4 linked regions of the Saccharomyces cerevisiae S288C genome follow. Each later gene encodes a partner of the first gene's protein in a complex. Each region holds a gene or a part of one and is shown in the gene's direction. Other genes may lie near its edges. The genes, in order: CFT1, CFT2, SWD2 and YTH1.

Region 1 (7,768 bases):
TTAATGAAAATGAGGATGAGGAACAACATGCCAGAATAGAAAATGACGAAGAATTAGAGGCTGTTAAAAACGATGATATCCAAATCTTTGGTTGAATATACATTTATTTTAAATACGCACAACTCATTTAATTTAGGGCTTATAAGTAGATAGAAGGATTTTAACGGATCACAAAAAGTAGCTGTTAACAACTACCTTTTTTTTGAGTTAAGAACACTAATGTGGATTAGGAAGAAACAGCTGCTCTGCACAATTCTTCAAAAAAACAAAACATGCTTAATGTGTCATTATTTAACCTGGAAATATAAAGGTAGTGTTTTATATAAGAAATATCATTAAGGGAATCCTCTATAACTTTTTAGTTCGTTTCAACGAGGTGGGAATGCCAAATTTTCTCTATGAGCGACATATTCGCTGTCATTATAGCCCAATTCCTCTTCGATTTGGTCACTGTGCAAACCTTTAATTTTAGTTAATTCAGAACTCGTGTAATTGCATCTTGCCTTGCCTACTGTTTGCAAGGGAAAATCTGGATCTAACGTGCCATCTGGTAACTTTTTACCAACTTTTATGTCAACACATTCTAACTCATGGAAAGTGCCCTGAACATCAATAACACCTGCTGGCAATAATCCCGCCTTATTTTTCCTTGTTAAGGCTGCGTACGCACCTTGGTCTATAACAACAGCGCCTTTAGAGACAAGACCGTGTAAAATCCAAAACTCTCTATTCTTTAGATGGTGTTTATTATCATTAGCAATGAACTTCGTATGTAGTGGAACGTTAAGAGCCTTTAATTTCTCAAATTCTCTTTTTTGCAAATCCGTTAAATCGCCATTATATGCTTGTTTAACTTTATTTTCATCGTCAAGTTCTAGAGTTTGCATATACTCGACAATTCTACCTATATTCGCAGGTGTATCGCTTTTCATGATCAACGTATGAACACCGGCATTCGTTGCCAAATCTGCAGCAACCAATTTAGTTTCCATACCACCGGTCCCAACGTCAGAACCTGAACCACCAGCAGTATTCACACCGGGCAAACCCTTTGAGAGATCTGGGACAACTAAGATCGGCATGGCATCTGGGTTTGTCCTTGGATTATCAGTATACAAACAGTCAACATCTGTCAGTAAGAAAAGATAATCTGCATGGATTAAAGCAGAAGTAATTGCTGATAAAGTGTCATTGTCACCAAATTTGATTTCTCTAACAGATAGTGTGTCGTTTTCATTCACAATGGGAATAACGCCCATGTTCAACAATTCATTAATTGTGTTTTGAGCGTTCTTATATTGGGTCCAGTCCAGAATATCATTTCTGGTCAATAGAATTTGAGCGATACGTTGATCAAATTGCGAAAACAGAAGATCCCATCTCCCGATCAATCTACCCTGCCCAATAGCTGCGATGGCCTGAACTTCTGCTAAATGTTTTGGTCTTTTATTCATACGCATAGTCCTCAAACCAACAGCAATACCACCACTGGACACGATGATAACTTTGTGTCCCATTCTTCTCAATTTGACTACAGTTTCGACAATAAGCGACATGATAGCTAACTTAGGTTCTTTGGTTTTTTCATCTACTAGCGATGAAGAGCCTAATTTGATCACTATAGTATACGATTTACTCTCATTAGCATCCTTCATTTTCGCGTTCTTATGACTATATTACAGTAGCTGATAAAATGACCTAAACTATGCCTATCTTTGAAGCAACTAGACATTAATCTTGAAAGACCGTTTTGATGGATGAATAATTCATCGAGAAAGCATTAGTTCGCTGATGTAATTTTTCATTTCCTGCCATCATGCGATGTGTGGGTGCTATTTATTTTCAATTCCTTTACCAAGGTACCTGATAGTGTCATAAATAAATAAATTTAGACCAAAATGTAACCATTGATAAGTGAGAGTCTTAAATTTAACATGTTCATACTTTAACTGGTGCTCAACCGATATATTATGATTCACTGTGCCACTGACCAGCCCTATTAGTGACATTTTGTGCTTCCTCATCCCGTCGGCTCCCAATAAGACAACGTAGTAAGTGATCTTAATATAAGGTAAGTTCGAGGTGACATATTTCACAGAGCAGCGTTAAAGCAATCATATGTAAATTGAGGAAGATCACCGTCCCTTGAACACTTCACTGATTAAAACTATCAGGTACTAACCTAGATTCGCTTTTTACTCTAGCTACTGGCCCTATGAATGTATATGATGATGTGCTTGACGCTACTGTTGTGTCTCATTCATTAGCAACACATTTTACTACTTCAGATTATGAGGAGCTCTTAGTGGTGCGAACAAATATCCTTTCTGTCTACAGGCCTACTAGGGATGGTAAACTGTATTTGACTGATGAGTTTAAGTTTCATGGCTTGATCACCGATATAGGCCTCATTCCCCAAAAAGACAGTCCGTTAAGTTGCCTGCTTTTATGCACAGGCGTCGCTAAAATCTCTATTTTAAAGTTCAACACGCTAACAAACTCAATCGATACCCTAAGCCTGCATTACTACGAAGGAAAGTTCAAGGGTAAATCGTTGGTAGAGCTGGCCAAAATTTCCACCTTGAGAATGGATCCTGGAAGTTCTTGTGCCTTACTGTTCAATAATGACATTATCGCTTTTCTACCCTTCCATGTCAATAAAAATGACGACGATGAGGAGGAAGAAGATGAGGACGAGAACATAGACGATAGTGAATTAATCCATAGCATGAATCAAAAATCCCAAGGGACGAATACTTTCAATAAGAGGAAGAGAACCAAGTTAGGTGACAAGTTCACGGCTCCAAGCGTGGTATTGGTAGCGAGTGAGTTGTACGAAGGCGCCAAAAATATCATAGATATTCAGTTCTTGAAAAATTTTACTAAACCAACGATAGCGCTCTTATACCAACCAAAGCTTGTTTGGGCAGGAAACACCACCATTTCAAAACTCCCTACACAATACGTTATACTCACATTAAATATCCAGCCTGCAGAAAGTGCCACCAAGATTGAATCAACCACAATAGCATTTGTCAAGGAACTGCCTTGGGATCTACACACCATTGTACCTGTTTCGAATGGTGCTATCATTGTGGGAACCAATGAACTGGCATTTCTAGATAATACTGGCGTTTTACAATCGACAGTATTATTAAACTCATTTGCTGATAAAGAGTTACAGAAAACAAAAATTATCAACAATTCTTCATTGGAAATTATGTTCAGGGAGAAAAACACTACGTCAATTTGGATACCTTCGTCCAAGAGCAAAAACGGAGGAAGTAATAATGACGAAACACTACTACTTATGGACTTGAAATCCAATATATACTATATCCAAATGGAAGCAGAGGGCAGGTTACTGATTAAATTCGATATTTTCAAGCTACCTATAGTCAATGATCTTTTGAAGGAGAACTCCAATCCAAAATGTATAACACGTTTGAATGCCACCAATTCAAACAAAAATATGGACTTATTTATTGGGTTTGGTTCAGGAAATGCTTTGGTTCTCAGATTGAATAATTTGAAATCTACCATTGAAACAAGAGAAGCACACAATCCATCTTCAGGTACAAATAGTTTGATGGATATCAATGACGACGATGATGAGGAAATGGACGATTTATACGCCGATGAAGCTCCTGAAAATGGACTAACAACTAATGATTCCAAAGGCACTGTGGAAACTGTTCAACCTTTCGATATCGAACTGTTATCATCTCTAAGGAATGTTGGTCCCATCACATCGTTAACTGTAGGTAAGGTATCTTCCATTGATGATGTGGTAAAAGGACTACCAAATCCAAACAAAAACGAGTATTCGCTAGTTGCCACATCGGGAAATGGTTCAGGTTCTCATTTGACCGTCATACAGACTAGTGTTCAACCGGAAATTGAATTAGCATTGAAATTTATCAGTATAACACAAATCTGGAATCTGAAGATCAAAGGAAGAGATAGGTACTTAATAACTACTGATTCCACAAAATCCCGGAGTGACATATATGAAAGTGACAATAACTTCAAACTTCATAAGGGCGGCCGTTTAAGAAGAGATGCTACTACAGTTTACATTTCAATGTTTGGTGAAGAAAAAAGAATAATACAAGTCACCACCAATCACTTATATTTATATGATACACATTTTAGACGTCTCACCACAATTAAATTTGACTACGAAGTTATTCATGTTTCCGTCATGGATCCGTATATACTAGTTACCGTATCAAGGGGTGATATTAAGATATTTGAATTGGAGGAAAAGAATAAAAGAAAATTGTTAAAAGTTGATTTGCCAGAAATTTTGAATGAAATGGTTATTACATCTGGTTTGATTTTGAAAAGCAATATGTGTAATGAATTTTTGATTGGGTTGAGTAAGTCTCAAGAAGAACAGTTATTGTTTACATTTGTTACTGCAGATAACCAAATTATCTTTTTTACTAAAGACCATAATGACAGAATCTTTCAACTAAATGGTGTTGACCAATTAAATGAATCTTTATACATTAGCACTTATCAACTGGGCGATGAGATCGTCCCTGATCCATCGATTAAACAAGTAATGATAAACAAACTGGGCCATGACAATAAAGAAGAATACCTGACAATATTAACCTTCGGAGGAGAGATTTACCAATATAGAAAATTACCACAAAGACGTAGTAGATTTTATAGAAACGTTACAAGAAATGATCTAGCTATTACTGGTGCTCCTGACAATGCATACGCCAAGGGTGTTAGTTCCATCGAAAGAATCATGCATTACTTTCCCGATTACAACGGTTATTCGGTAATATTTGTAACCGGTAGCGTTCCATACATATTAATAAAAGAAGATGATTCCACACCGAAGATTTTCAAATTCGGAAACATACCATTGGTTTCAGTCACTCCCTGGAGCGAGCGTTCAGTCATGTGTGTAGATGATATTAAAAACGCCAGAGTTTACACACTAACTACTGACAATATGTACTATGGTAACAAATTACCATTGAAACAGATAAAGATCAGCAATGTGCTTGATGACTACAAAACTCTGCAAAAACTAGTCTATCATGAAAGGGCTCAATTGTTTCTTGTATCTTATTGCAAGCGGGTTCCTTACGAAGCATTAGGAGAAGATGGCGAAAAAGTAATTGGTTATGACGAGAATGTTCCTCATGCGGAAGGATTTCAAAGTGGAATTTTACTCATTAATCCAAAAAGTTGGAAGGTCATTGATAAAATCGACTTTCCAAAGAATTCTGTCGTCAATGAAATGAGATCCTCTATGATTCAAATTAATTCAAAAACTAAGAGGAAAAGAGAATACATTATAGCCGGTGTTGCCAATGCCACCACTGAAGACACTCCACCAACTGGCGCTTTCCATATTTATGATGTGATAGAAGTTGTTCCCGAACCTGGTAAACCTGATACCAATTATAAGCTCAAGGAAATTTTTCAAGAAGAGGTCAGTGGTACTGTATCTACTGTTTGTGAGGTTAGTGGAAGATTCATGATTAGTCAAAGCCAAAAAGTTCTAGTAAGAGATATCCAAGAAGATAATTCCGTCATACCAGTGGCATTTTTGGATATTCCTGTTTTCGTTACGGATTCTAAAAGCTTTGGTAATCTTTTGATAATTGGTGACGCTATGCAGGGGTTCCAATTTATTGGTTTTGACGCAGAACCATACAGGATGATTTCATTGGGCAGAAGTATGTCGAAATTTCAAACAATGTCGCTAGAGTTTTTAGTGAACGGAGGGGATATGTATTTTGCGGCAACAGATGCTGACAGAAATGTTCATGTTTTAAAATATGCGCCAGATGAACCCAACTCTCTTTCGGGTCAACGTTTAGTCCACTGCTCCAGTTTCACGTTGCATTCCACCAATAGTTGTATGATGCTTTTACCAAGAAACGAGGAATTTGGCTCTCCTCAAGTGCCATCGTTTCAAAACGTTGGTGGCCAAGTGGATGGGTCAGTCTTCAAGATAGTTCCTTTAAGTGAGGAAAAATACAGAAGACTTTATGTGATTCAACAACAAATCATCGATCGAGAATTACAGCTAGGTGGTTTAAACCCTCGCATGGAAAGATTGGCCAACGACTTTTATCAGATGGGTCACTCTATGAGGCCTATGCTTGATTTCAACGTTATACGGAGGTTCTGTGGATTAGCTATTGATAGACGGAAAAGCATTGCGCAGAAAGCAGGAAGACATGCGCATTTTGAAGCATGGAGAGATATCATAAATATTGAATTTTCAATGAGATCTTTATGCCAGGGTAAGTGAACAATACATATAAAGGATATTTAATGCTAACTAGCCCGATATATACATCTATCTATCACTAGGCATTCGAGTAGTGAATAAGAACCACTACTTGAAACACTAGATTTGTAACAATAACGCATGTATCATCGTACATTTTCGGAACTATTTACGTAACGCGGGGATGAGGAAAAAGTTACTTTTTGCACAGCAAAAAAAACAAATAAAGAACAGTTAGTGAAATAAAGCAAAAGTGCAAACGGTGCCTTTAATCAAAGACTTTGCAGGAACATAAACAAGTGCACTAAAGAAGGTCCAATTTAAATATGCCAGCTAAAAAAAGGACTAGAAAGACAGTGAAAAAAACCGTATCATTCTCCGATGACACAACATTAACAACGCACCAAAATCGTGAGAAAAAGAACGTAGATCATGATCGTCCACCTGTGTATGTGAGGAAAACCCCTCTGATGACATTTCCATACCATTTAGTAGCACTACTTTATTACTACGTTTTTGTATCTTCAAATTTCAATACGGTGAAGTTGCTAAGTTTTTTGATTCCTACACAAGTTGCTTATTTAGTTTTACAATTCAATAAATGCACAGTTTACGGTAACAAAATCATTAAGATCAATTACTCATTGACCATTATTTGTCTAGGTGTTACATTTTTGTTGAGCTTTCCCACAATGTTATTAACTATATTATTTGGTGCGCCATTAATGGACTTATTGTGGGAAACCTGGCTGTTGTCACTGCATTTTGCATTTTTAGCATACCCTGCAGTTTATTCTGTATTTAATTGTGATTTCAAAGTGGGATTATGGAAGAAGTATTTTATCTTTATCGTTGTAGGGGGTTGGATTAGTTGTGTTGTCATTCCTTTGGATTGGGATAGAGATTGGCAGAATTGGCCAATTCCTATTGTTGTTGGAGGTTATTTGGGCGCTTTGGTGGGCTATACTATCGGTGCCTATATATAATATCGGTAATTTAAAAATTTGTATATAAAAAAATATAAGTATGATAGAGGTAACATAAACTGGTCCTATGCACAATTGAAAAATCTATGACAAAAACTAAATGATCTTTATACCAAACCCACCTATATGCTATTTGTACCATCTTAAAAGAAGGTAATAACTTCCATACAGATAAATAGCTAACAACATTAAATATCTCCCACTCTCCTCATTCTTTTCTTTTCATAATTTCCTTTTTCTGATTTATTCATTCTATATAAAAAAATAATACAAATCCTCAGATTAAATAATAAATACTATAAAAGTCTCAACTTCTTCTTTAATTTGTTTGAGTCGCTTTAGCTACGAATAGCCTCAAAAACTTCGTTGAAATTCTCCTTTGTTAAACCGAAAGTATCCGAATTTGCGTCGCTATCAACAGGAGCTGCTGCGCCTAAAACTCCATTAGAAACTGTGCTATTTTTCCTCTGTTCATAAAAATCCGTTTTTATCAGAGATTCTGAAATTTTACTCA
Region 2 (6,259 bases), on another chromosome or scaffold:
TCATCGTCATCGTCCTCACTATCATCGTCATCACCACCATCATCATCATCATCCTCAGAGTCCTCATCAGTATCATCATCTTCATTGTCCTCACTATTTCCCACCTCTTCACTTTGTTGATCTGTCTCCGCATCAGGTTTATAATGTAAACCCAAGCCCATCATAGCTTTCTGTATCGCGTTCGATGTTTTACTTCTGTTTTTGAGATCTTCTGTGGATTCAGTAACATCTTCATTAGCAGTATTCTTTGGTTTATTGAAATATTCCTTCCATGAATTCCATAAGTTGGCTGCTGGCTTGTCTGTATTCTTTCCAGGATTTACAGAAATTTGGGAAACAGACTTTTTTGACTCGATGCTTTCCTGGTCTTTGATATCCTCCTCGCTTTGATGACCATTTTTATTGCTTGAAGAGTTGCTAGAGCTTCTTTTTAAATTATGAAATGTGGCCAAAAATCGTTGCTGTAATAGAGACAGAGTGTCGGCACCGTTATATATATGCTTCGGAGGAAACAAGTCGAACAATCTATCATCTGTTCTTGAGTTGAATATCAGAAAATTTTGAGTCTCTTTCCAACTCTGAACCCAATTCAAATTGAATAAATGAACGGGATTGGAATTTAGCATATCCTCAGGTATAGTCTTCAAAGCTTGATCATTCTCTTTATGCAGGTCCAAATAATCACTTAATTTAACACTGGAAAGTAACCCCGTTAAATAGTCCTCGAATTGCCACCTAATGAAATCCTCACTGCCTTCAAATTGAGAGTTTTTTGGAGTTTCATCATCATTTTCGTTCCATGTGTCTGATACAATTCCAGATATAGATTCAATCCATTTTTTATCATGACTTGACAATTGGAGGACGGGGTTCAAAGTCTTGTCCAGAATATCTACAGTGGAATTGTCTGTATTGACAAATATGTGGCACAGTTCCTCCTTTTGTTCAGCAAGCAATGTGTTGGAACTTCCAATCATAAAAAACAAAGTACGTTCTGACCGTATGTCATTCATTTGCTGCAGTGGAGTATAGGGTGAAAATAGTCCACCTTTTTCGAAAATCGGTAATGGAAAACCTAAGAATCTCAACACTGATTCTCGATTGCTTGATTTAAACGAGTCCACAACATTTAATTTCGAAATATCCTGAAACAACTGAGGACTGCCAGAATCCTGCAAATTTGACATCAAGTCCGGAATTAAGCTGATCAGACCGAACTGTAAATTACACAAAGCTTCCACGTCGTTGCCGTAAACTATAATTTTTTTTTCAAGCATAATTGCTTTCAATAAGACTAAAGCGTTTCTCTTAAAATCATGTAGTATCTTTCTCAGACATAACCCAATATAAAGACGATTTTCGGCATTTCTGACCAATGATGCAGGCGTGTAAATCGACTTCAGGTTTTCGTATAAAGACTGGATTATCTTCCTGTCCCCAAAATCATGCTGCAAGAAAAAAGCATTAGTCACAATACTAAGTTTGTCCTTGATTTGACCGAAGATTGGTTGCCTTGAGATGACTACAATTGCCTTCTGTACAGTAGATCGTGTTACATCCTTATCTTTAGTGACCAATTCATCACTCTTTATCTGTCTCGAGCAAGATATGGCAAACAAAGTCGTGTTGTCATTGATGCTATCATCACTCAGATCAGTTGCCCCGTTGGGAGGGCTCCTTTGTCTTCTTTCATCATATAGTAATGTGAAATAAGTAAATGTTTCTTCAAACGAGTGAGAACCATCAGGAAGGGCCTGGAAGGGTAAATTTGGCCATAGTTCTGCACTTTGGGTGCCCTCAGGTAAGCCATACCAGTATTCTATTTCAGGGCCTCTTTTGTGATGAAAGTCCACAAGGCAGATACCGAAGATGACTGCTTCCTCGTGTTCATCCATTATTTTGACAACAAGGTTGCAGCGAGGCAGAATGTATATGTTAGTTTGATATGGTCTTCCTGCTTGGATTCCTTTAAGGCTTCAAAATTTTCTTGAAAAGGAAACTTCGTGAATGAGCTGTAAGGATGCTTGATCGGGCCGTACATTCTTATGCAAGATCCATTATTGACTGCTCTCTGTTGGGTTAGCTTCCATATCTTCCGTTACCCGTTCGTATAATCATTACCCGACGGACAAGCATCATTTCAGCGGCTATTTTTGCTAGGCAAACCTCCTAAGCAATGATACTTCTCAAACGTTCAATGGAAGTAATAGAAGTTCAACTTACCCCATTAATAATCCACACATTAGAAGGTTGGGACAATAAAAATAAAAAGCATTAATTAGTGTAAACTTTGCTCCCAAATGCAAGTCTAAGGTAAGTTCTTTGGTTCATGGAGTTTTTGCAGTGTAATCTCACGTGCACTAGACTGAGTAAAGCGAACCTGAGTTCAAGAAATAATGATTCACCTATGACATATAGTCCAACTATACAAGCAATGAACCCTTACGGATTGAAGTCATTCAATGTTCAATGTTTGTTGTAATAAGAAATATTACTAGAAAAAGATTTTTTCTTTCGGCGGCGTTTTCCCGCTTTTCTTAAACAATCTGCAGTTTTAACATCGAATTCACGAATATTTGTTCGCTAAAGAAATAACACAGAAGATGAAATGAAGAACATACATTGAGGGCGACGAATATATATGACTTATAAATACAATTGCTGTGATGATGGATCAGGAACCACCGTTGGTTCAGTGGTACGATTTGATAACGTCACCTTGTTAATCGATCCCGGTTGGAATCCATCTAAAGTATCGTATGAGCAATGCATCAAGTACTGGGAAAAAGTGATACCGGAAATTGATGTAATAATACTATCACAACCAACAATTGAATGTTTAGGTGCTCATTCCCTTCTGTACTATAATTTTACCTCGCATTTCATATCCAGAATTCAAGTTTACGCAACTCTTCCTGTTATCAACTTAGGGAGAGTTTCCACCATAGATTCATATGCATCTGCAGGTGTTATAGGTCCATATGACACAAATAAACTCGATCTTGAAGATATTGAGATATCTTTTGATCATATTGTACCTTTGAAGTACTCGCAATTGGTAGATCTACGATCAAGATACGATGGATTGACTTTACTGGCGTACAATGCTGGTGTGTGTCCAGGTGGTTCTATTTGGTGCATTAGCACATACTCAGAGAAATTGGTTTATGCAAAGCGATGGAACCACACTAGAGATAACATACTAAATGCTGCTTCTATATTGGACGCCACTGGTAAGCCCTTATCAACTTTGATGAGGCCCTCTGCAATAATTACTACTTTGGACAGGTTTGGCTCCTCTCAACCGTTTAAAAAACGTTCAAAAATCTTTAAAGATACATTAAAGAAAGGTTTGAGTTCGGATGGGTCCGTTATAATACCGGTAGATATGAGTGGCAAATTTCTGGACCTGTTCACACAAGTTCATGAGTTATTATTTGAAAGCACAAAGATCAATGCGCACACACAAGTACCTGTACTTATTCTGTCTTACGCGAGAGGAAGAACTCTAACATATGCCAAATCAATGCTCGAGTGGCTGTCCCCTTCACTACTTAAGACATGGGAAAACAGAAATAATACTTCTCCATTTGAAATTGGATCACGGATCAAAATCATCGCACCAAACGAATTGAGTAAATATCCTGGTTCAAAGATTTGCTTCGTATCTGAGGTAGGAGCTTTGATTAATGAAGTGATAATTAAAGTTGGTAATTCTGAGAAGACAACCTTGATTTTGACCAAGCCGAGCTTTGAATGTGCGTCGTCTTTAGACAAGATACTAGAAATTGTTGAACAAGATGAAAGAAATTGGAAAACATTTCCTGAAGATGGTAAATCATTCCTCTGCGATAATTACATTTCAATAGACACCATAAAAGAAGAACCCTTGAGTAAAGAGGAAACAGAGGCGTTTAAAGTACAGCTTAAAGAAAAGAAAAGGGACAGAAATAAGAAAATTCTACTGGTGAAAAGAGAGTCTAAGAAACTGGCTAACGGCAACGCAATCATAGATGATACCAACGGAGAGAGGGCAATGAGAAATCAAGACATTTTAGTGGAAAACGTCAATGGAGTACCACCGATTGATCATATTATGGGGGGTGACGAAGATGATGATGAAGAGGAAGAAAACGACAATTTGTTGAATTTACTCAAGGATAACTCTGAGAAATCAGCAGCGAAAAAAAATACGGAAGTTCCTGTAGACATTATAATTCAACCAAGTGCCGCTTCAAAACATAAAATGTTCCCATTTAACCCCGCTAAAATCAAGAAAGATGATTATGGTACTGTTGTAGATTTTACGATGTTTTTACCTGATGATTCTGACAATGTTAATCAAAATAGCAGGAAAAGACCTCTCAAAGACGGTGCTAAAACCACGAGCCCTGTAAACGAAGAAGATAACAAAAATGAAGAAGAAGATGGTTATAATATGAGTGATCCAATTAGCAAAAGGAGCAAACACCGTGCTTCTCGTTACTCGGGATTTTCTGGAACCGGAGAAGCAGAAAATTTTGATAACCTTGACTATTTAAAGATAGACAAAACGCTCTCCAAAAGAACAATCTCAACTGTAAATGTCCAATTGAAATGCTCCGTAGTAATCCTAAATTTACAGAGTTTAGTTGATCAAAGGTCTGCATCTATTATATGGCCATCGCTAAAATCTAGAAAAATAGTTCTTTCCGCCCCCAAACAGATTCAAAATGAAGAAATTACGGCAAAACTTATCAAGAAAAATATTGAAGTGGTCAACATGCCATTAAATAAGATAGTGGAATTCAGTACAACAATAAAGACCCTGGATATCTCCATTGACTCCAACCTCGATAACCTTTTGAAATGGCAACGTATCAGTGATAGTTATACAGTTGCCACTGTCGTTGGCAGGCTGGTTAAGGAGAGCCTACCGCAAGTGAACAATCATCAAAAAACAGCGTCAAGGAGTAAACTAGTCTTGAAACCATTACACGGTTCATCTAGGAGCCATAAAACAGGTGCGTTGTCAATCGGTGACGTTAGGTTAGCACAATTAAAGAAACTTCTCACAGAGAAAAACTACATTGCAGAATTTAAAGGGGAAGGTACACTTGTCATAAATGAAAAAGTAGCAGTCCGCAAAATCAATGATGCAGAAACTATTATCGATGGTACGCCTTCCGAACTTTTTGATACTGTCAAAAAATTGGTTACGGATATGTTAGCAAAAATCTAGCCTTCTTGTATACAGCACAAATAAAAGGTTCAATTTACGTTCGTGGACTGCCCACAAAACAGTATGTGACATAAATTGCTGTGTATCTCGCACCGCTATTATCTGTATATAACATTCTAACTCACTTTTAACGATATTAGCATTATTGATTTCTTTCTTTTTCTGCTGAATTTCACCAAGCGGAAATTTTCAAAGCAGAATTTTTTCCCTAATTTGCTACAAGTGCTATTCTATCCCACAATAAAAGGAAATTGTTGATGAGTTTTAGAAGGATTAACTCTAGATACTTTGAAAATAGAAAAGGAAGCAGTATGGAAGAAAAAAAAGCAAAGGTTCCTCCAAACGTCAACCTTTCGTTATGGAGAAAGAACACGGTAGAAAGCGATGTCCATCGATTCAATTCTCTTCCATCAAAAATTAGTGGGGCCCTAACTAGGGAACAAATATACTCCTATCAAGTCATGTTTAGGATTCAAGAAATTACCATCAAACTGCGTACGAACGATTTTGTGCCCCCCTCCAGGAAAAATAGGTCACCTTCTCCGCCACCAGTTTATGATGCCCAAGGTAAAAGAACGAATACCCGTGAGCAGAGGTATAGAAAGAAACTAGAGGATGAACGTATTAAACTTGTTGAGATAGCCCTAAAGACCATCCCTTACTTCGTTCCTCCGGATGATTACAAGAGACCTACCAAATTTCAGGACAAGTATTATATCCCGGTGGATCAGTATCCTGATGTCAATTTTGTTGGTTTATTATTAGGTCCTCGTGGACGTACGTTAAGAAAGCTGCAAGAAGATTCGAATTGTAAGATTGCAATTAGAGGAAGAGGTTCAGTCAAAGAAGGTAAGAATGCAAGTGACTTACCTCCAGGCGCCATGAACTTTGAGGACCCCTTGCACTGTTTAATTATCGCAGACTCGGAAGACAAGATCCAAAAAGGTATAAAAGTTTGTCAAAACATTGTTATCAAAGCGGTGACATCTCCGGAAGGCCAGAATGACTTGAAACGAGGACAACTGAGAGAATTGGCGG
Region 3 (4,390 bases), on another chromosome or scaffold:
CCAAGTCCGGAGAGCCATCGTTGTGCTGTATGTTGGCGCTATAGCTGTGGAGCATCGAGGAAACGTTTCCTGTGCCACTCATCATTTTCAGTGGTGTACTACTGTTGTGATTAGTCGTTTAGAGGATATCTAGAGTATAATTATTTTGAATGAGTTTCGTTGACATTTTCAGTTCATGCGATCATCTTACTTTCATGGTTGCTCCTTGCCGTTAAAATTGAAACGAAAAAAGCGGGAATACAACAATGTCACCTTACACGAGCAGAGAAAAGGGCAGCAATAGCGACAATAACCGATAATGCCAGGCCTTCCAGAGCCCTATGCTGACCTATATTCATCATGACGCTATCCATATGCAACTAGAGACCTGCTGGGAAGCGCTCTCTCATTTTTGAAGGTTGCAGCAGTGCTCGCGCCGGTTTTCGATTGGGCCTCGTGATAAAACACATCAGCAAAGTTTCGCTTTTGACATTCTGTTAAATTGGTCCTTAACTGTTGGTGCAGACCTACTGCAAGACTGTTAATTATGGTATATTATATATCAAGTGCTGATACAACGTACACCATCGAAAATGGAGGAGTACGATTATTCAGACGTTAAACCTTTGCCCATTGAGACAGACTTGCAGGATGAACTGTGCAGGATTATGTATACCGAGGATTATAAGCGGTTGATGGGACTCGCAAGGGCTCTGATCAGCCTTAACGAACTGTCACCCAGGGCACTACAGCTAACAGCCGAAATTATCGACGTGGCGCCAGCCTTCTACACCATATGGAACTACCGATTCAATATCGTCAGGCACATGATGAGTGAATCCGAAGACACTGTCTTGTACCTGAACAAGGAATTAGACTGGCTAGATGAAGTTACGCTGAATAATCCAAAGAACTATCAGATCTGGTCCTATAGACAGTCTCTTTTGAAGCTACATCCGTCTCCTTCCTTCAAAAGAGAGCTGCCTATCTTAAAACTGATGATTGATGATGATTCCAAGAATTATCACGTTTGGTCGTACAGAAAGTGGTGCTGTTTGTTCTTCAGTGACTTTCAACATGAGCTCGCCTACGCCAGCGACCTCATCGAGACAGACATTTATAACAACAGCGCATGGACTCATAGGATGTTTTACTGGGTGAACGCTAAAGATGTCATTTCAAAAGTGGAATTGGCCGACGAGCTCCAGTTCATTATGGACAAGATTCAATTGGTTCCGCAGAACATCAGTCCGTGGACCTACCTCCGTGGTTTCCAAGAGCTATTCCATGATAGGCTACAGTGGGATAGCAAAGTAGTCGACTTCGCCACAACCTTCATCGGTGACGTATTGTCACTTCCAATTGGCTCACCAGAGGATTTGCCCGAGATCGAGTCCTCATATGCCCTGGAATTCCTGGCATATCACTGGGGGGCAGACCCTTGTACCCGAGACAACGCTGTTAAGGCCTATAGCTTGCTAGCAATCAAATACGATCCTATTAGAAAAAACTTGTGGCACCACAAAATAAATAATCTGAACTGAATATATGTAAGCACTCTATTTGTACGAATATATTTACGTGTGTACGTGCATGCACGCAAGTTTAATCTAGTTCTACAAACCTACTGCTGTATTGAGATTGATCTCTTCCCCTTCGTTTTGGACCGCTATCATTGATGCGTCCAAACCCGTCCTCGTTCAACTGCTTTCTGAAAAATTTAGAACGTTTAACCATCTTCAGCGTCCTTGTGTAGCACATCTCTCCCCATGACAGATATCTATGTATCCAGCCGCCCAACTGATACTGGTTGTAAAAGAATATCATTCCCGTCTCCCTTCTTATTGCCGATAGGAGCATAGCTACCAACGTCCCCTCTACTACCCACCTTATCATTCCCAACATCTTGCAATATGTTACGATCTGATCTTCACTCTCTTTTGCTCCTTCTTTTTGCTGTTTAACTGTTACCTACACTCATTTATTCGATACCTTTTTTTACCCATTTTTTCTTCATGCAGTTTAGCACTAGTACATTAAAAAAGAAAGAAAAAAAATGAAAGCAAGACTAAAATATCGAGCAAAGCACAAGCAAATACACCGTTTGTCCTTTTAGCATAGCCAACAATGACCACCGTGTCCATCAATAAGCCCAACCTGCTGAAATTCAAGCATGTTAAAAGCTTTCAACCTCAAGAAAAAGACTGCGGACCCGTAACCTCATTGAATTTCGACGATAATGGCCAGTTTCTACTGACCTCTTCTTCCAACGATACAATGCAATTGTACAGTGCCACGAACTGCAAATTCTTGGACACTATAGCCTCTAAGAAATATGGCTGTCACTCCGCTATCTTTACGCACGCACAAAACGAATGTATCTATTCCTCTACAATGAAAAATTTTGACATTAAATACCTTAATCTGGAAACAAACCAATATCTAAGATATTTTTCCGGTCATGGCGCCCTAGTGAATGATTTGAAGATGAACCCCGTGAACGATACGTTTCTATCGTCGTCATACGATGAATCCGTTAGGCTTTGGGATTTGAAGATCTCTAAACCGCAAGTTATTATACCAAGTCTCGTACCAAATTGTATCGCATATGATCCAAGTGGCCTTGTATTCGCATTGGGGAACCCAGAGAATTTCGAAATAGGGCTATATAATCTGAAAAAAATTCAGGAGGGTCCTTTCTTGATAATTAAAATTAATGATGCGACTTTCAGTCAATGGAATAAATTAGAATTTTCTAACAATGGAAAGTATTTATTAGTTGGCTCCTCGATAGGAAAGCATTTAATTTTTGACGCATTCACAGGTCAACAATTATTCGAACTAATAGGAACAAGGGCCTTCCCGATGAGAGAATTTCTAGATTCTGGATCTGCTTGTTTCACACCAGATGGTGAATTCGTCCTTGGAACCGATTATGACGGTAGGATTGCCATTTGGAATCATTCTGATTCAATAAGTAACAAAGTATTAAGGCCGCAAGGGTTCATTCCCTGTGTTTCTCATGAGACCTGCCCCAGGTCAATTGCATTCAACCCTAAATATTCGATGTTTGTTACCGCAGACGAAACAGTAGATTTTTACGTGTACGATGAATGACTGCTGCTACTGCATTGATATACTAGAGGATATAATATATAACGAACATTTTTTACCTACTGTATAACGACGTATACTCTATACATCTTGTGTATTCTTTACAAATAATCGTCAATGTTGGGGTACCTTACGTCAGCGTTCTCTTCACACCATTCTGACCAACTTTTTAGGTACTTGTTACCGCACCTTTGCAGAACTTCTATATTGCCAACAACAACTAGTTGCCTTCTGGGTCTTGTCATGGCGACGTTCAGTCTTCGTTCTTCCTTAAGGAAACCAACTTCAAATTTTTCATTGCTACGAACTAAACTCAATATGATAACATCTTTTTCACGGCCCTGGAACCCATCTACAGTTGATATTTCAATATCAGTTAATTTTAATTCATCATGGATCAATTTTTTCAGATGAGAAACTTGTGCATTGTATGGAGAAATAACACCTATAGAGTTCTCCGGGACGTTGAATGACCTTAAATTCTCAATGTGTTCTTTTACAATGGCAATTTCGCCCTCATTATACTTAGATCCAAGGATAGTAGCTTCATCTGCAGTCTCTTGAAATTCATCACCTTGCGTATCATACCAAATTAAAGGAATTTTTGTATCGTCATCATCCTCAGATGGCGTAGCATCGACGGTCGGTAGGTCTATCAAAAGTCTGTTCGCGACCGTTGCATCGGCCAATAGTTTCCCATTATACATTGAGTGCGATGGAAATTCCATAATTTTTTGATTCATCCTGTATTGAACGTTAAGAAATTTTACCATATCCCTTTTCGGGAATATTTTGATTATTCTGTCAAATAGTGTGGTTTCCAAATTGTGAATGACATTTTTGTCGTCTTCTGTTTTGATTGTGGGTGGCAATTGTTTATTGTCACCAGCAAGGACTAGTTTGTGGAACTGATTTTGATGTGCAATTAGTGGGATCCAGCATTGTGGTTCCATGGCCTGTGAGACTTCATCGATGATCAAGGTATCGAAAAGCTGGAAATTTGGATCATCTCTATAAAGGGAGCATAGTTCTCTCGATGATGAACCGTGTAAAGTGGTGACGACTATTCTCGATTGTATTATTAAGTCCTTAATGGTTTTGAACTCTCTTTTCTTTAAATCTTTGCGCAGCAGTTTAATTTCGTTCCAGTTTTCTTTACGTTGCTTATAGTTTTTTAGTTTTTTATTCTCCTGAATTAATTTGTCAATCTCCTGGGAAATGTCCTTCACAATAGTATTCTTTTTACTAAGTATATCAAGAGAGTGTCTTTTATTAGAGTCTAATAGCCTAGCAGGAT
Region 4 (4,150 bases), on another chromosome or scaffold:
GCTAGAACACTCGAATACAACGTATTAAACAAATGAAGAAACAATGACCGTATCATGAATTTCCTTTTATGGGGATTCCTTTTTCTGGTTATACTACTTTTTAAGAATTGGCATTTTCAGCCTTAGATTCCTCACTTTCAAAAGAAGCATGGTCCTTTATGAGACATTGCAATTATGTAACTTTCCGAACTAAATACTGAAATTTTTAATGGAAGCTTGAAAACTATAGAAGCTCTCCGTTTTAAAGGAGAAAGAGGATGATTACAATCCTTTGACTTGAACCGATCCATATATCCTCTCACTACTATTTACTCAAGTCTCCAAACTATGTATACATGTTGATGTGATTATGTGCGTTGCTAAATAATGTAAATTCCTCAAACACGATCTGACCCTGTCAATCTCACTGCTGCACCGTATTTTTGTAATTTTGTTAGCAAACCGTCACCTTGCTTAACTAGCAGATGGTATTGAGCATTTTTGTTGTCTGGCCTGTTGGTCTCTACGATCCCATTAACTCTATCAATGACACAATTTAGTTGCTTATTTGGAATAAACTTACCCAGGTCGTTATCCAAGAACGCAACCGAAACACCAAATGCGCTTGCCATAGATTTCAGCGACAAAGTCTTATATGATTCCAACAATTGTGCGTAGACTTTTCTTCTCATTTCTCTAACAAAGAAATCTGCATGTCTATTCAAATATTTACATGGAATCAAAACATTTGCATATGTTTCCAAAAGATATGGAAAGTAACTGGCATAATCGGACGCGTAAAGGGAAATTGTTAACGACGAGATAGATTGTAGTGCGGCAGTTGTTGAGATTAAAGATAACAATTCAGGTGAATCGATGACTTTGGATTTTAGGTCTGTTCTTTCCAGAGTGAATAAACCTGTGACCGATGCATATGTGGCAATGCTTTCATAGGAAGTTAATTCAATAGAGGTGAAAGTTGCTAGAGAATCGACCAATAACTTTGCCGCTTCCTTAAAGTTTCTTACGGCCAAGCAGTGGATACCATAGTATGTTTTATATCTATTTCTTCTCTCCCAGTCACCACCTTTTTCAATCATAGAATTGACTGCTTCCAACTTCTCCTTAACATAAAGTTGGTCGTTATAAAAGAACCCCAGCCTTGCAATTGTTAGCATAACATCAATTTTGGCGCCTGTGGAAATAGCCTTCGATAATGATTTCCCTAGCGTCTTTTCAGCATTATCTTTGTCACCGATTTGTGCATAATATTCACCCAGATTAATCCAGGCTTGAGCTTGTTCTAGTTCACCTTCATCATCTTCTTCCAATTTTTGGATCTTTTCATTTAACTCTTTAATCTTACTTTCATTTTTTTTGCACAATTCATTGTATAGCTCCTGGTCAAATTTGATCCATTCGTTTAAAGAATCTGACTTTTCATCGTGTTCCAAGTCAGATTGGCCATTATTAACAAGGTATTCCTCGCAAAGATATTTATAATAAGGGGCCATTTCTTCCTCTTTAATTTTGGCTAAAACGAACTCTGCCGCTTCCTTACGCTGTTCAATACTAACCTTTGATTGTGTCAAAAGAAACGCCTTTTCAGATACCTCATAATTGGGCACCCTATTCACCGTTGGATCAACATATTCAACTTCTTGACTTTTCTCTTCCACGTCTACCATTTTGCCGTGTTTATCCAGAATTTTTGCGTGTATTAGTAACTATTGTAACAGTGGTAAAAAGCGCAGTTTACTACAACAATAGAGATTTGTGTAGTGTTAACAATTAGGTTTTTCAATGCTGCCTTGTGTATATTAATCCTCAATGGGTGGCAAACTTAACTTATTCGGAAACTTGATTGAGCATGCATTTACGCGCCGTCGGTTATGATATGGGGAAAACAAGTGTTATTACAATAGTCCACTATAACTTTTAATAATTATATAGAATGCACTGTACTTTGTTGTTCCAATCGCTTCAAAATATCACATTTCTGAATTATAAGCTAAAGATTTCTGCACTGTATCTTAAACAAGTATTCTAGGACGAATAAAATCAATAAGTTTATGTAATGAGCCTAATTCACCCCGATACAGCAAAATATCCTTTTAAATTTGAACCTTTCCTCAGGCAAGAGTATTCGTTTTCACTCGATCCTGACAGACCTATTTGTGAATTTTACAATTCTAGAGAAGGCCCTAAATCATGTCCGAGGGGACCGTTATGTCCAAAAAAGCATGTGTTACCAATATTTCAGAATAAAATTGTTTGTAGACATTGGCTTCGAGGGTTGTGCAAAAAGAATGACCAATGTGAATACTTACATGAATACAATCTTCGAAAAATGCCTGAATGTGTCTTCTTCAGCAAAAACGGGTACTGTACACAAAGTCCAGATTGTCAATATCTACACATAGATCCCGCTAGCAAGATACCAAAATGTGAAAATTACGAAATGGGATTCTGTCCTCTGGGGAGTTCTTGTCCTAGACGGCATATTAAGAAGGTTTTCTGTCAAAGATACATGACCGGATTTTGTCCTTTAGGGAAGGATGAATGTGATATGGAACATCCACAGTTCATAATCCCAGATGAAGGTAGTAAATTAAGAATTAAGAGAGACGATGAGATAAATACCAGGAAAATGGATGAAGAAAAGGAAAGGCGTTTAAACGCAATTATAAACGGTGAAGTTTGATCTATGCATGGCTGGGGGTTTTCGATTTCATAGACATGTATATTATCATATATAGTTACTATCGAGTATAGTTATGAGATTTTCTAGAGGAAGTCTATCAACCAGAATTCTGGACAATAATGCTAGTTCTGACTTCCAATCCTGGAATAAATCGTTTCTTAACATGTTTAGATTTATAGGATCTTTTTTCAAAAGAGCATTTATCAGCCATTGGGACTGCTGTATAGATGAACTGCCAATACCTGGAGAGGATCCATGCGACACTAACGCCTGAAGTTCGTTGTAAGGCTCATGCTGCGATATAAATGATAAAAGACAAAGCCCCACGGCATACAAATCCGATTCAAATGTAGGAACATGATCGGAGGAGCTATCAATTAGTTCTGGTGCACAGTATTCTACCGTGGTATTCAGATCTGTTGGTGTTTGATTAATGTGAAATGCCGACGTAAAGTCAGCAAGGTAGAAGTCAAAATCCTTACAATGGCCTCCATTAAGAACATGCATTTCTGTTATTAAAATATTTGCTGTTTTTATATCACCATGAATTATACCATTTGTTTTCAAAGATTTTAATGCGTCTATCATTTGCTTCATAAGTCTCCACCATATTTTTCTTTTTGTTATCAACGAAAGCTTATGTGACACTGCTGTATTGAAGTGATATAAACTCATTTCGCATTTCGGAAGAATAAGGCCAGGAACACATTCGTTGGACCTCAGTCTTCTAAAATGGGATTTAGTTATGTATGTCAACCCATAGAATGGAATAATATGACTTTCATTGGTTGAAGGACTCATGTACTGGAGATATGCTAGCGTCAAAGCTTCCTGTAAAATCACCTTGCTTTTATGCTGTGATTTGGCAAACTTTAAAACAACCCCTGAATCGTTGTTACATCTTGATGAAGCACTTGATGATATAGGGTACACATATGAATAACTTCCCTGTCCCACTAATTTGTTAGACGGAAGAGAATAACTTGGATTTGACAAAAAATCCATCTCTGGAGCAAGTAATATGCCCATCAAAAACTCATCCAGAAATTCTAGGGAAGAAACTGTATTAGAAAGACGGAACATTAAAGCCAAATTCTCCGGAGAGTAAAACCGGGGGGTAGTGAACAATACGTCTAAATCGTTCTTTAGGTGCGCCTCCGAGGTAGCAACGGGCGCCTTACTAGAATAATCTGTCTGGAATGCCTCACTGAATTTAGCTGTCGGCTCCTCTACAGGAGATACCAGATGTGAATATGCGAAGTTACTTTTATGTTTTTGCGGTTGGCGATAAGCAAAACCCTTACTATTGTTACTTATGGATGGAAAGGAACCATCAGAAACCCTGGTGACGGGTGACGTAGGAGGTGTACTGTTCATAGCGTGACGTTTGAGAACTAGTCTTTGAGATGTGTTTTAAGACGATTTTTGCTGTTGATGAGGTTAGATCCCCGTTATATAAAGGCAAGA

What was found.
Region 2: the proteins of CFT1 (region 1) and CFT2 are in contact, whole or in part, in a cryo-EM structure (PDB 7ZGQ), measured with the Saccharomyces cerevisiae proteins. Residues at the interface, in NP_010587.1 of Saccharomyces cerevisiae: Lys84 (codon at 2,465), Ile85 (codon at 2,468), Thr99 (codon at 2,510), Leu100 (codon at 2,513), Ser101 (codon at 2,516), Leu102 (codon at 2,519), His103 (codon at 2,522), Tyr104 (codon at 2,525), Ala196 (codon at 2,801), Val199 (codon at 2,810), Ile1277 (codon at 6,044), Asp1278 (codon at 6,047), Arg1279 (codon at 6,050), Glu1280 (codon at 6,053), Leu1281 (codon at 6,056), Gln1282 (codon at 6,059), Gly1285 (codon at 6,068), Leu1286 (codon at 6,071), Asn1287 (codon at 6,074), Arg1289 (codon at 6,080), Met1290 (codon at 6,083), Leu1293 (codon at 6,092), Ala1294 (codon at 6,095), Tyr1298 (codon at 6,107), Gln1299 (codon at 6,110); in NP_013216.1 of Saccharomyces cerevisiae: Ile524 (codon at 4,211), Ile525 (codon at 4,214), Ile526 (codon at 4,217), Gln527 (codon at 4,220), Ser532 (codon at 4,235), Lys533 (codon at 4,238), Lys535 (codon at 4,244), Met536 (codon at 4,247), Phe537 (codon at 4,250), Pro538 (codon at 4,253), Phe539 (codon at 4,256), Pro541 (codon at 4,262), Ala542 (codon at 4,265), Lys543 (codon at 4,268), Ile544 (codon at 4,271), Lys546 (codon at 4,277).
Region 3: CFT1 (region 1) and SWD2 share a complex: the UniProt entries of both Saccharomyces cerevisiae proteins name them as parts of the cleavage and polyadenylation factor (CPF) complex.
Region 4: the proteins of CFT1 (region 1) and YTH1 are in contact, whole or in part, in a cryo-EM structure (PDB 6EOJ), measured with the Saccharomyces cerevisiae proteins. Residues at the interface, in NP_010587.1 of Saccharomyces cerevisiae: Val516 (codon at 3,761), Gly517 (codon at 3,764), Tyr537 (codon at 3,824), Tyr949 (codon at 5,060), Glu951 (codon at 5,066), Ser1020 (codon at 5,273), Ser1021 (codon at 5,276), Met1022 (codon at 5,279), Gln1024 (codon at 5,285), Ser1027 (codon at 5,294), Lys1030 (codon at 5,303), Glu1034 (codon at 5,315), Glu1092 (codon at 5,489), Ser1094 (codon at 5,495), Arg1096 (codon at 5,501), Lys1104 (codon at 5,525), Leu1106 (codon at 5,531), Pro1118 (codon at 5,567), Val1119 (codon at 5,570), Ala1120 (codon at 5,573), Phe1121 (codon at 5,576), Asp1123 (codon at 5,582), Ser1133 (codon at 5,612), Phe1134 (codon at 5,615), Gly1135 (codon at 5,618), Asn1136 (codon at 5,621), Leu1137 (codon at 5,624), Gly1151 (codon at 5,666), Phe1152 (codon at 5,669), Asp1153 (codon at 5,672); in NP_015432.1 of Saccharomyces cerevisiae: Ser2 (codon at 2,060), Leu3 (codon at 2,063), Ile4 (codon at 2,066), His5 (codon at 2,069), Pro6 (codon at 2,072), Asp7 (codon at 2,075), Thr8 (codon at 2,078), Ala9 (codon at 2,081), Tyr11 (codon at 2,087), Pro12 (codon at 2,090), Phe13 (codon at 2,093), Lys14 (codon at 2,096), Phe15 (codon at 2,099), Phe18 (codon at 2,108), Leu19 (codon at 2,111), Tyr23 (codon at 2,123), Ser24 (codon at 2,126), Phe25 (codon at 2,129), Ser26 (codon at 2,132), Leu27 (codon at 2,135), Asp28 (codon at 2,138), Pro29 (codon at 2,141), Asp30 (codon at 2,144), Arg31 (codon at 2,147), Ile33 (codon at 2,153), Lys55 (codon at 2,219), Val57 (codon at 2,225), Phe61 (codon at 2,237), Trp70 (codon at 2,264), Leu71 (codon at 2,267).

The regions. Positions count from the first base shown.
Region 1 is NC_001136.10:1,061,137-1,068,904, forward strand, and holds CFT1 (cleavage/polyadenylation factor CFT1), read left to right. Parts: upstream 1-2,215; coding exon 2,216-6,289; downstream 6,290-7,768. Other genes in the region: rRNA-processing protein BFR2, read left to right, coding at 1-95; PRO1 (glutamate 5-kinase), read right to left, coding at 369-1,655; mannose-ethanolamine phosphotransferase GPI11, read left to right, coding at 6,595-7,254; RSC3 (Rsc3p), read right to left, coding at 7,593-7,768. UniProt on the Saccharomyces cerevisiae protein: RNA-binding component of the cleavage and polyadenylation factor (CPF) complex, which plays a key role in polyadenylation-dependent pre-mRNA 3'-end formation and cooperates with cleavage factors including the CFIA complex and NAB4/CFIB.
Region 2 is NC_001144.5:375,344-381,602, forward strand, and holds CFT2 (cleavage polyadenylation factor subunit CFT2), read left to right. Parts: upstream 1-2,641; coding exon 2,642-5,221; downstream 5,222-6,259. Other genes in the region: AVL9 (Avl9p), read right to left, coding at 1-1,895; mRNA splicing protein MSL5, read left to right, coding at 5,479-6,259. UniProt on the Saccharomyces cerevisiae protein: RNA-binding component of the cleavage and polyadenylation factor (CPF) complex, which plays a key role in polyadenylation-dependent pre-mRNA 3'-end formation and cooperates with cleavage factors including the CFIA complex and NAB4/CFIB.
Region 3 is NC_001143.9:401,996-406,385, forward strand, and holds SWD2 (WD-repeat containing protein SWD2), read left to right. Parts: upstream 1-2,106; coding exon 2,107-3,096; downstream 3,097-4,390. Other genes in the region: SPT23 (Spt23p), read right to left, coding at 1-85; RAM2 (bifunctional protein farnesyltransferase/protein geranylgeranyltransferase), read left to right, coding at 573-1,523; MCO12 (Mco12p), read right to left, coding at 1,585-1,884; ATP-dependent 5'-3' DNA helicase HCS1, read right to left, coding at 3,195-4,390. UniProt on the Saccharomyces cerevisiae protein: The COMPASS (Set1C) complex specifically mono-, di- and trimethylates histone H3 to form H3K4me1/2/3, which subsequently plays a role in telomere length maintenance and transcription elongation regulation. Involved in mediating RNA polymerase II termination.
Region 4 is NC_001148.4:739,971-744,120, reverse strand, and holds YTH1 (cleavage polyadenylation factor RNA-binding subunit YTH1), read left to right. Parts: upstream 1-2,056; coding exon 2,057-2,683; downstream 2,684-4,150. Other genes in the region: proteasome regulatory particle lid subunit RPN7, read right to left, coding at 378-1,667; putative protein kinase ISR1, read right to left, coding at 2,729-4,060. UniProt on the Saccharomyces cerevisiae protein: RNA-binding component of the cleavage and polyadenylation factor (CPF) complex, which plays a key role in polyadenylation-dependent pre-mRNA 3'-end formation and cooperates with cleavage factors including the CFIA complex and NAB4/CFIB.